2 linked regions of the Macaca mulatta genome follow. The protein of the gene in region 1 purifies or fractionates together with the protein of each later gene. This does not show direct contact. Links are inferred from orthologs where the notes say so. Each region holds a gene or a part of one and is shown on either strand. Other genes may lie near its edges.

Region 1 (3,807 bases):
TAGCTATTTTACTATTAGTTACTGGTACCAATTTGCCAGCAGGTAACAGATTGAGATTGTGTCCTGTGGTTGAGTGGGGGGGAAGTTTAAAAGTCTTCATGGGTTTGATGTTTTGCTTTTATGGAGGGAAGATAATAGCATGCATTTTATTTTCAAACAAATGTATGTGGGTTTTAAGTGCAGGGTGGTAGAGACCTGGCATAATCGTTTTCAGTTTTGTGCTTGCTAAGTTACTTTACAAAATTTGAGTTTGTATTAAAATGAAAATTTAAGCACTGTGTTAGGACTCATGGTGTTTACATTGTGTACAAAGCTGCCAATGACAGGCTTCAGAAAGGCACACGTTTTCAAGGGTTATTGGCAGGAGGAAGCAGTGCCTACTTCACTTATTGTTGATGGTTTGAACTTTTAGCGCTTCTAGTGATTTCAAGTTAAGAAAGTGGAAATAGTGGTCTTCAAAGTAGAATGTGCATACTTGTTTTTTTTTTTAGACAGAGTCTTGCTCTTGTCTCCCAGGGTGGAGTGCAGTGGCGTGATCTTGGCTCACTGCAACCTCCATTTCCCAGGTTCAAGTGATTCTCCTGCCTCAGCCTCCCAAGTAGCTGGGATTACAGGCATGTGCCACCACGCCCAGCTATTTTTTGTATTTTTAGTAGAGACGGGATTTCACCATGTTGGTCAGGCTGGTCTTGAACTCCTGACCTTGTGATCCGCCCCCCCTCTGCCTCCCAAAGTGCTGGGATTACAGGCGTGAGCCGCCGCGCCCAGCCGAATGTGCATCAGTTTATCAGTTGACATAGAGTGAAAACATTAGCACTTCTCTTTCTTCTATCCTCTAAAGTGTCTTTTCTTTGTTTATGTTTTATCATGTCCCTAGGATCTTAGCTCTTGGAGTTTAAATTAAATTCATTGGAGGAAAAAATATGCTTTGAATTTTGGTGTAGAAGTAGAAGTGGGTAATCAGGATTAGGTTTGTTTGTATTTAACAGGGGAAGAAAATGGTAGCTTAAATAATGTGGAAGTTTATTACTCTCTCACATAAAAGACACTGGCTCTCAGCGGCTCAGGGCAGGTATGACAGCCCCATAGTGTCACCAGGGCCTCTGCATCCTGTCTTTCTGTTCTGTCTCCCCCAGCAATCCCTTCCCTTCCCTTCCCTCCCCTCCCCTCCCCTCCCCTCCCCTCCCCTCCCCTCCCCTCCCCTCCCCTCCCCTCCCCTCCCCTTCCCTTCCCTTCCCTTCCCTGTTCTGGGATACATGTGCAGAATGTGCAAGTTTGTTACATAGGTATACACCTGCCATGGTGGTTTGCTGCACCCATCAACCCATCACCTACGTTAGGTATTTCTCCTAATGCTATCCTTCCCCTAGCCCCCGACCTCCTGACAGGCCCCAGTGTGTGATATTCCCCTCCCTGTGTCCATGTGTTCTCATTGTTCAACTCCCACTTATGAGTGAGAACATACGGTGTTTGGTCTTCTGTTCCTATGTTAGTTTGCTGAGAATGATGGTTTCTAGTTTCATCCATGTCCCTGCAAAGGACATGAACTCATCCTTTTTTTTTTTTTTATGGCTGTATAGTATTCCATGGTGTATATGTGTAACATTTTCTTTATCCAGTCTATCATTGATGGGCATTTGGGTTGGTTCCACATCTTTGCTATCCAGCAATTGATTTCTGTCTTTGAAATCAACCTCTGGGCCATAGGAGCACCAGTCATCCCTCTTAGCTCAGGCAGTGGGAAGGAAGAAGAGAAGAGGGCAGGTATGCTCCCTTCCTATTTATTTTTTTAGAGCAGTTATGGGTTCCAGGCAAAATAGAGTGGAAAGTTACAGAAGAGTTCCCATATTCCCCATCCCTCTCCTCTCTTTCAAGTTCAGAACTTCCTCAATGCCATCCAGCAGCTTCTTCTTAGACCTTATTGGTCAGAACAGAGGCACGCTGGGCTAAAGGAGAGTGGGGAAGAGTAGTTTTTTTAGCTGGGCACTTTGCTGCCTTATATAATGGCGTTCCTGACCAACATAGGCAAGGAAGATTGTTGAGTAGGAAACCTAAAATCCTGTTTAAAGCCATATAAGATAATCTCTTATTTTCTCTTCCTTAAGCAAAAGAAAGTTGAAGTCCAAACCATAAACTGGTATTTTTAGAAAGCTGTTTTTTGGGGTGGGGGGGGTTGTTTTTGCTATTAAAATACACTATCTACTCTGTTTAATTATTATTAGTTCTTAAGGGCTTCATCTTTAGCAGGGAAAATAATCATTTAAAATTATACTAAGAAATCATAAAATTACACAAGATACATGGAAGGAGGTATTTTATGTTCATTTGGAAGCGCGTTAAGTGTTTTATAAGGAGATTTGAGGGAATGCTTTATAGAATGGATAAGAACGATTTAAATACCTTAAAAAAATTTTAAATACAGTTCTATGTATATGTCATTTGGTACACGCTAGATTTCTGCTATTAATTATTTTAAATTTGCACCATCAGTAAATACTTCAACTTGTATTGTTTTGAAAGGAAAATATACAAGAGAATCTTTCCTTTTTTTCATCGTTTTCGTAGTCGTAGCATGTTGCCGAGGTAATGACTGCTTCCTCTGTCATTGTGTTTTCTGTCTTCTCTCCATTCGTTTTTCCAAAAGTGCGTACTCCTTCCACGTTACCGCAGACGGTCAGATGCAGCCTGTCCCTTTTCCCCCCGACGCCCTCATCGGACCCGGAATCCCCCGGCATGCTCGCCAGATCAACACCCTCAACCACGGGGAGGTGGTGTGCGCGGTGACCATCAGCAACCCCACGAGACACGTGTACACAGGCGGGAAGGGCTGCGTCAAGGTCTGGGACATCAGCCACCCTGGCAATAAGAGTCCTGTCTCCCAGCTCGACTGTCTGGTGAGTGGACAGGAACTGGTGCACAAGGGCAATTTCTCCCTGGAGATTCAATAAGGAAATAGCTGTGTGGGCCTGGGTTTTATTCCCATTATGAGGAAATAGAAGCCCCTTCTGTTTCCTGTGTTGGGTATTTAACCCCCTCGGCCCCCCGTTTAAATGCGAAGGTTTCATTTGTTGCTGTTGCACTGGCTAAATCCCAGAGTTGATGGATTTCTTTTTATAAAATATTTTACACTGGTTTACAGAGGCTCTCCTTGTGTATGGATGTACATTACAAAAGGGGGTTTCCCATTTAATGGACAAAAGCACAACTTGGCCTGGACTCTGGTCCCTGCCATCCACTCAGTTTTTAATTTCCCTATAGCCTTTAGATAAATATAGAATAGTAAATTTTTTTTTTTTTTTTTTTTTTTTTTGAGACGGAGTCTCTTTCTATCGCCCAGGCTGGAGTGCAGTGGCCGGATCTCAGCTCACTGCAAGCTCCGCCTCCCGGGTTCACGCCATTCTCCTGCCTCAGCCTCCCGAGTAGCTGGGACTACAGGCGCCCGCCGCCTCGCCCGGCTAATTTTTTGTATTTTTTAGTAGAGACGGGGTTTCACCGTGTTAGCCAGGATGGTCTCGATCTCCTGACCTCGTGATCCGCCCGCTCGGCCTCCTAAAGTGCTGGGATTACAGGCATGAGCCACCGCGCCCGGCCGAATGGTAAATATTTGATGACATGTCATAAAAACCATTCTGAACAGGGTAAGGTTTGTGTTTTTAAGGGAGACCTGAGAGAGCTGGTTAGGTTTTATGACCTTCACTTCAGGAAAGGGTTAAAGGCTGTCACTGCAAAGACCGGGGGCAGCCATCAACAAAATAGAGCGGTGAGAATGCATTCCCAGAGTTCCTAAGCCGTGTCCGCTCAGAGCCT
Region 2 (4,445 bases), on another chromosome or scaffold:
GGCTGTTGCAAATGCGGCTTTCAGCCGAGTGAAAACCCCAAGCCCGAAAGTGAGGGTGGGGCGGGGTGGGGGGGAAGAATCCCCACTCTCCAACCCGGGTGTGCGCTCCCCGCCCGGAAGAGCTGACCTTGGCCTGGGGAGGCGGGGGTGGGGAGAGAGGGTAAGCGCCGGGGCTCGGCTCCCAGCCCGCCGCCCCTTCGGATTCCTGGCCCGGCGGGGCCGGAGGAGGGGGCCCCGGACACACACACACACCCCACACGCAGCGCGCGCCAATGAGCCCGGGCCAGGCGCAGGGGGCGGAGTTTTCCCAGGCTCGAGCACAGCAGCTGCTATTTACCTTCTTGGCTTCTCCCGGGGACCAGGAACCGGCCCCCGCTCTCCGCCGCCCGCCGCCGCCCCCCGCCTCCCTGCCCCCGGGGCGCGCGCACACACACTCACTCACACACGCACGCACACACACATCCTCCCGGCCCGGCCGCAGCCGCGGCGGCAATAAAACATCCTGGCACGTGCTCCGGCTCCAGGCGCGCCCACGCCGGCCGGCTGATGTCAAACTGCAGCTCGGCTGGTGTAGCTCTTAAAGGGCCCGCGCGCGCCGGGGGCCGAGGCCGCCCGCGGGGCGAGGAGGGAGAGGCTCTGCTTCCTGGCCCTCCACCTCAACGCGCCGCAGAACCTGAAGCCTACGGATGAAAAGGGAAAGGGTGGTGAAGGCGGGCGCGAGTCCCTGAGGCATTGCCCTCAGAGCCCCCCTTGTTCATTTTTTCATTTGAAATACCATTTCCTTCCACCCAGTTGGAAATTATTCTGATTGTTTCCTGGGGAAGCGCGGGGTCTAAGGCCCCAAATCCAGAAGAGGAATTTCTGAAAGACGGGGTGGGGGTAGGGGGGGTAAGGGATTCAAGAACTACCTTACTCCGAAAAACCTGCGTTTGTAAGGTAGAAGCCAATTTTTCCTTTTAATGCATGGAAAAAGGAAAAAAAAATGGCCCTTTTCCTGCATGATCTACTTTCACCCTCATGAATGTGTAAAGTCTGAGCGGGAACTTAAGATATGTCGGTAACTCACACCTTTACACGAGTCCCGTCCCCCCCCCCCGCCCCCTTTTAACCACTGCTAATGTTTTTCTCTGTCCCTTTATACCTTTAAAAAATGTGTTTCAAATGAACTTATTACAGTCAAAGCAGCTCTGTTACATATGAGAGAGGGCATAAAGGGTAAAGACCCTGGCTCCAAAAGAAAGGGACAAGACCAAAACCAAAGCGGAAAGAAAAAAAAGATCACCTCTAAACCAAAGCCCAGAGGGAGAGTAGCAAAGGGTTAAAATCCTTTTGATTGACGTTGTAGCCTCCGGTGCCCTGGGCTCAGGCGCGCGCCATTGGCCGCCAGACCTTGTGCCTGGCGGCCAATGGGGGGGCGCGGTCCACGAGCGGTGCCGCGTGTCTCCTCCTCCCATTGGCTGAAAGTTACTGTGGGAAAGAAAGTTTGGGAAGTTTCACACGAGCCGTTCGCGTGCAGTCCCAGATATATATAGAAGCCGCCAGGGCCTGGGGATCACACAGGATCCGGAGCTGGTGCTGATAACAGTGGAATCCCCCGTCTACCTCTCTCCTTGGTCCTGGAACAGCGCTACTGATCACCAAGTAGCCACAAAATATAATAATAAACCCTCAGCACTTGCTCAGTAGTTTTGTGAAAGTCTCAAGTAAAAGAGACACAAAGAATTCTTTTTCTTGAAGAACTCCAAAAATAAAATTCTCTAGAGATTAAAAAAAAAAAAAAGGAAAATGCCAGCTGATATAATGGAGAAAAATTCCTCGTCCCCGGTGGCTGCTACCCCAGCCAGTGTCAACACGACACCGGATAAACCAAAGACAGCATCTGAGCACAGAAAGGTAAGGGCGGTACCTGTATCTCTCTGCAGCCCCTCAAGATTAAGTAGGGGTTGGGGGGGCTTCTTTCTGTGTTGAAACCCCGGGATGAAATGGCAGATCCCATGGGAACACAGAACTCTTTTTATTTATTTGCAGTCATCAAAGCCTATCATGGAGAAAAGACGAAGAGCAAGAATAAATGAAAGTCTGAGCCAGCTGAAAACACTGATTTTGGATGCTCTTAAGAAAGATGTAAGTGGGGAAATGTTGTTGCTCTTTCTTTTACTGAGAAAGCAAACACTTTCTCAGCTACTAAGAGTGAAACCCCCCGCCTGCGGGGTCTAGCACTCGCCGGTACTGCGTTCTCCTAGGCGGGAGGGCCCGGCCTTATTCTCTGGGGTCCAGAGATATGCTTGCGCTCCGTGGCCGGGAGAAGGGACCCCCAGCACTCTGAAGCAACTGACACGGGGTTCACTTTCTTTTCTTGCCTCCTCCTATGCAGAGCTCGCGGCATTCCAAGCTGGAGAAGGCGGACATTCTGGAAATGACAGTGAAGCACCTCCGGAACCTGCAGCGGGCGCAGATGACGGGTGAGGGCGGCTCGCCGCGTCCCCCTGTGCGGGCGTCCCGCTCGCCTCGCGGTGATTTCTTCCAGACTTCCGCCCGTGGTTGTGAGAGGCATTCAGCTACATTTTACTGCCTTGGCTCACTCTCGCGTTCCCACGGTCTGGGGCTTATTTATAGCCACAACTCCAAGTTGTTACTGTTCCGGAAAGGGAGGGAAAGAGGTTGCAGCCGCGAGGGTGGCGGGCGGCGGGTAGGGGCGAAAGGACTTAGGACTGTGGCGGTTTGGAACTGCGTGGAGCCTGGGGGTCACTGGTTTAGCACTCCCTCCCGTTGCAGAAGGGGAAACGAGGCTTGGATGATGGATTGGGAGGCATTGTCCAAGGTCACATCGCGCGCGGGGGTGGGGGTGACAGATCTGTGGCTGAGATAGGTTTAAATGCAGCGACAGGGAATCGGGAAGGAGTGGCTCGGCTTTGGCAGCCACGCTAGTGTGTAGAGGTGGCTTTTTTTTTTTAAACCCATCCCACCCTCCCCGCCGGAGGCAGTTTTACGGGCCCATGGTCAGGGAGGCGCGCCACTGGGACCTCCCAGGGCGGAGGCAGTGGCCACGGGGCCAGGGCCGTTCGGTGACCCGTCTGTCTCCTTCTGGCCCGCAGCTGCGCTGAGCACAGACCCAAGCGTGCTGGGGAAGTACCGCGCTGGCTTCAGCGAGTGCATGAACGAGGTGACCCGCTTCCTGTCCACGTGCGAGGGCGTTAATACCGAGGTGCGCACTCGGCTGCTCGGCCACCTGGCCAACTGCATGACCCAGATCAATGCCATGACCTACCCCGGGCAGCCGCACCCCGCCTTGCAGGCGCCGCCGCCGCCCCCACCAGGACCCGGCGGCCCCCAGCACGCGCCGTTCGCGCCGCCGCCGCCGCTCGTGCCCATCCCCGGGGGCGCGGCGCCCCCTCCCGGCGGCGCACCCTGCAAGCTGGGCAGCCAGGCTGGAGAGGCAGCTAAGGTGTTTGGAGGCTTCCAGGTGGTACCGGCTCCCGATGGCCAGTTTGCTTTCCTCATTCCCAACGGGGCCTTCGCGCACAGCGGCCCTGTCATCCCGGTCTACACCAGCAACAGCGGCACCTCCGTGGGCCCCAACGCAGTGTCACCTTCCAGCGGCCCCTCGCTTACGGCGGACTCCATGTGGAGGCCGTGGCGGAACTGAGGGGGCTCAGGCCACCCCTCCTCCTAAACTCCCCAACCGACCTCTCTTCCCTCTGGACTGTAAACAGGAACTTGAATACTGGGAGAGAAAAGGACTTTTTTGATTAAGTGGTTACTTTGTGTTTTTTTAATTTCTAAAAAGTTACTTTTTGTAGAGAGAGCTGTATTAAGTGACTGACCATGCACTATATTTGTATATATTTTATATGTTCATATTGGATTGCGCCTTTGTATAAAAGCTCAGATGACATTTCGTTTTTTACACGAGATTTCTTTTTATGTGATGCCAAAGATGTTTGAAAATGCTCTTAAAATATCTTCCTTTGGGGAAGTTTATTTGAGAAAATATAATAAAAGAAAAAAGTAAAGGCTTTTATGTCTTAGAACTGACTCTTCCAGGATATGTAAAAAGGCTCTTAGTGGAATTTGAATTACATGTAATTAGTCAATTCAAGAATTGACTCTTTTGTTATTAAAAGAACATTTTTAAAAATCCATCAAACCTTTCACCAATCCTCCGTGAACTAAAAAGACTAAATTCCATTTACTTTACAAGCAGCCATCTGGTAAGGCTTCCCTGATAAACTTGTGGTCAGTCTCTTAAAGGATTTCCAAAAACTTGTTTTTAAGTTGCAGTCGGGTAAGTCTGCAGCCCTTGTTCTTCTATCGCCTCCTGAGAAAGACTGAACAGGACTAAATTCACGAAGTCAGTGGATCCAATCCTATTGCCCATTGCACGTTAAGGGTGGTTCCTGCAGCTCTCCTCTCCCAGGGTAGCTCACCGACATCCAAAGCAAAAA

Evidence for each region.
Region 2: the proteins of TLE1 (region 1) and HES1 purify together in Homo sapiens (affinity purification with western blotting; 4 studies listed by BioGRID and IntAct, with this or other methods). This does not show direct contact. The link is inferred for Macaca mulatta from reciprocal best matches to the Homo sapiens genes TLE1 and HES1.

What each region holds. Positions count from the first base shown.
Region 1 is NC_133420.1:112,565,576-112,569,382, reverse strand, and holds part of TLE1 (transducin-like enhancer protein 1), read left to right. Parts: intron 1-2,644; coding exon 2,645-2,894; intron 2,895-3,807. UniProt on the Homo sapiens protein: Transcriptional corepressor that binds to a number of transcription factors. Inhibits NF-kappa-B-regulated gene expression. Inhibits the transcriptional activation mediated by FOXA2, and by CTNNB1 and TCF family members in Wnt signaling.
Region 2 is NC_133407.1:4,621,359-4,625,803, reverse strand, and holds HES1 (transcription factor HES-1), read left to right. Parts: upstream 1-1,554; 5' UTR 1,555-1,785; coding exon 1,786-1,893; intron 1,894-2,028; coding exon 2,029-2,124; intron 2,125-2,374; coding exon 2,375-2,462; intron 2,463-3,095; coding exon 3,096-3,646; 3' UTR 3,647-4,016; downstream 4,017-4,445. Other genes in the region: uncharacterized protein LOC144339429, read right to left, coding at 1-576, 685-733. UniProt on the Homo sapiens protein: Transcriptional repressor of genes that require a bHLH protein for their transcription. May act as a negative regulator of myogenesis by inhibiting the functions of MYOD1 and ASH1.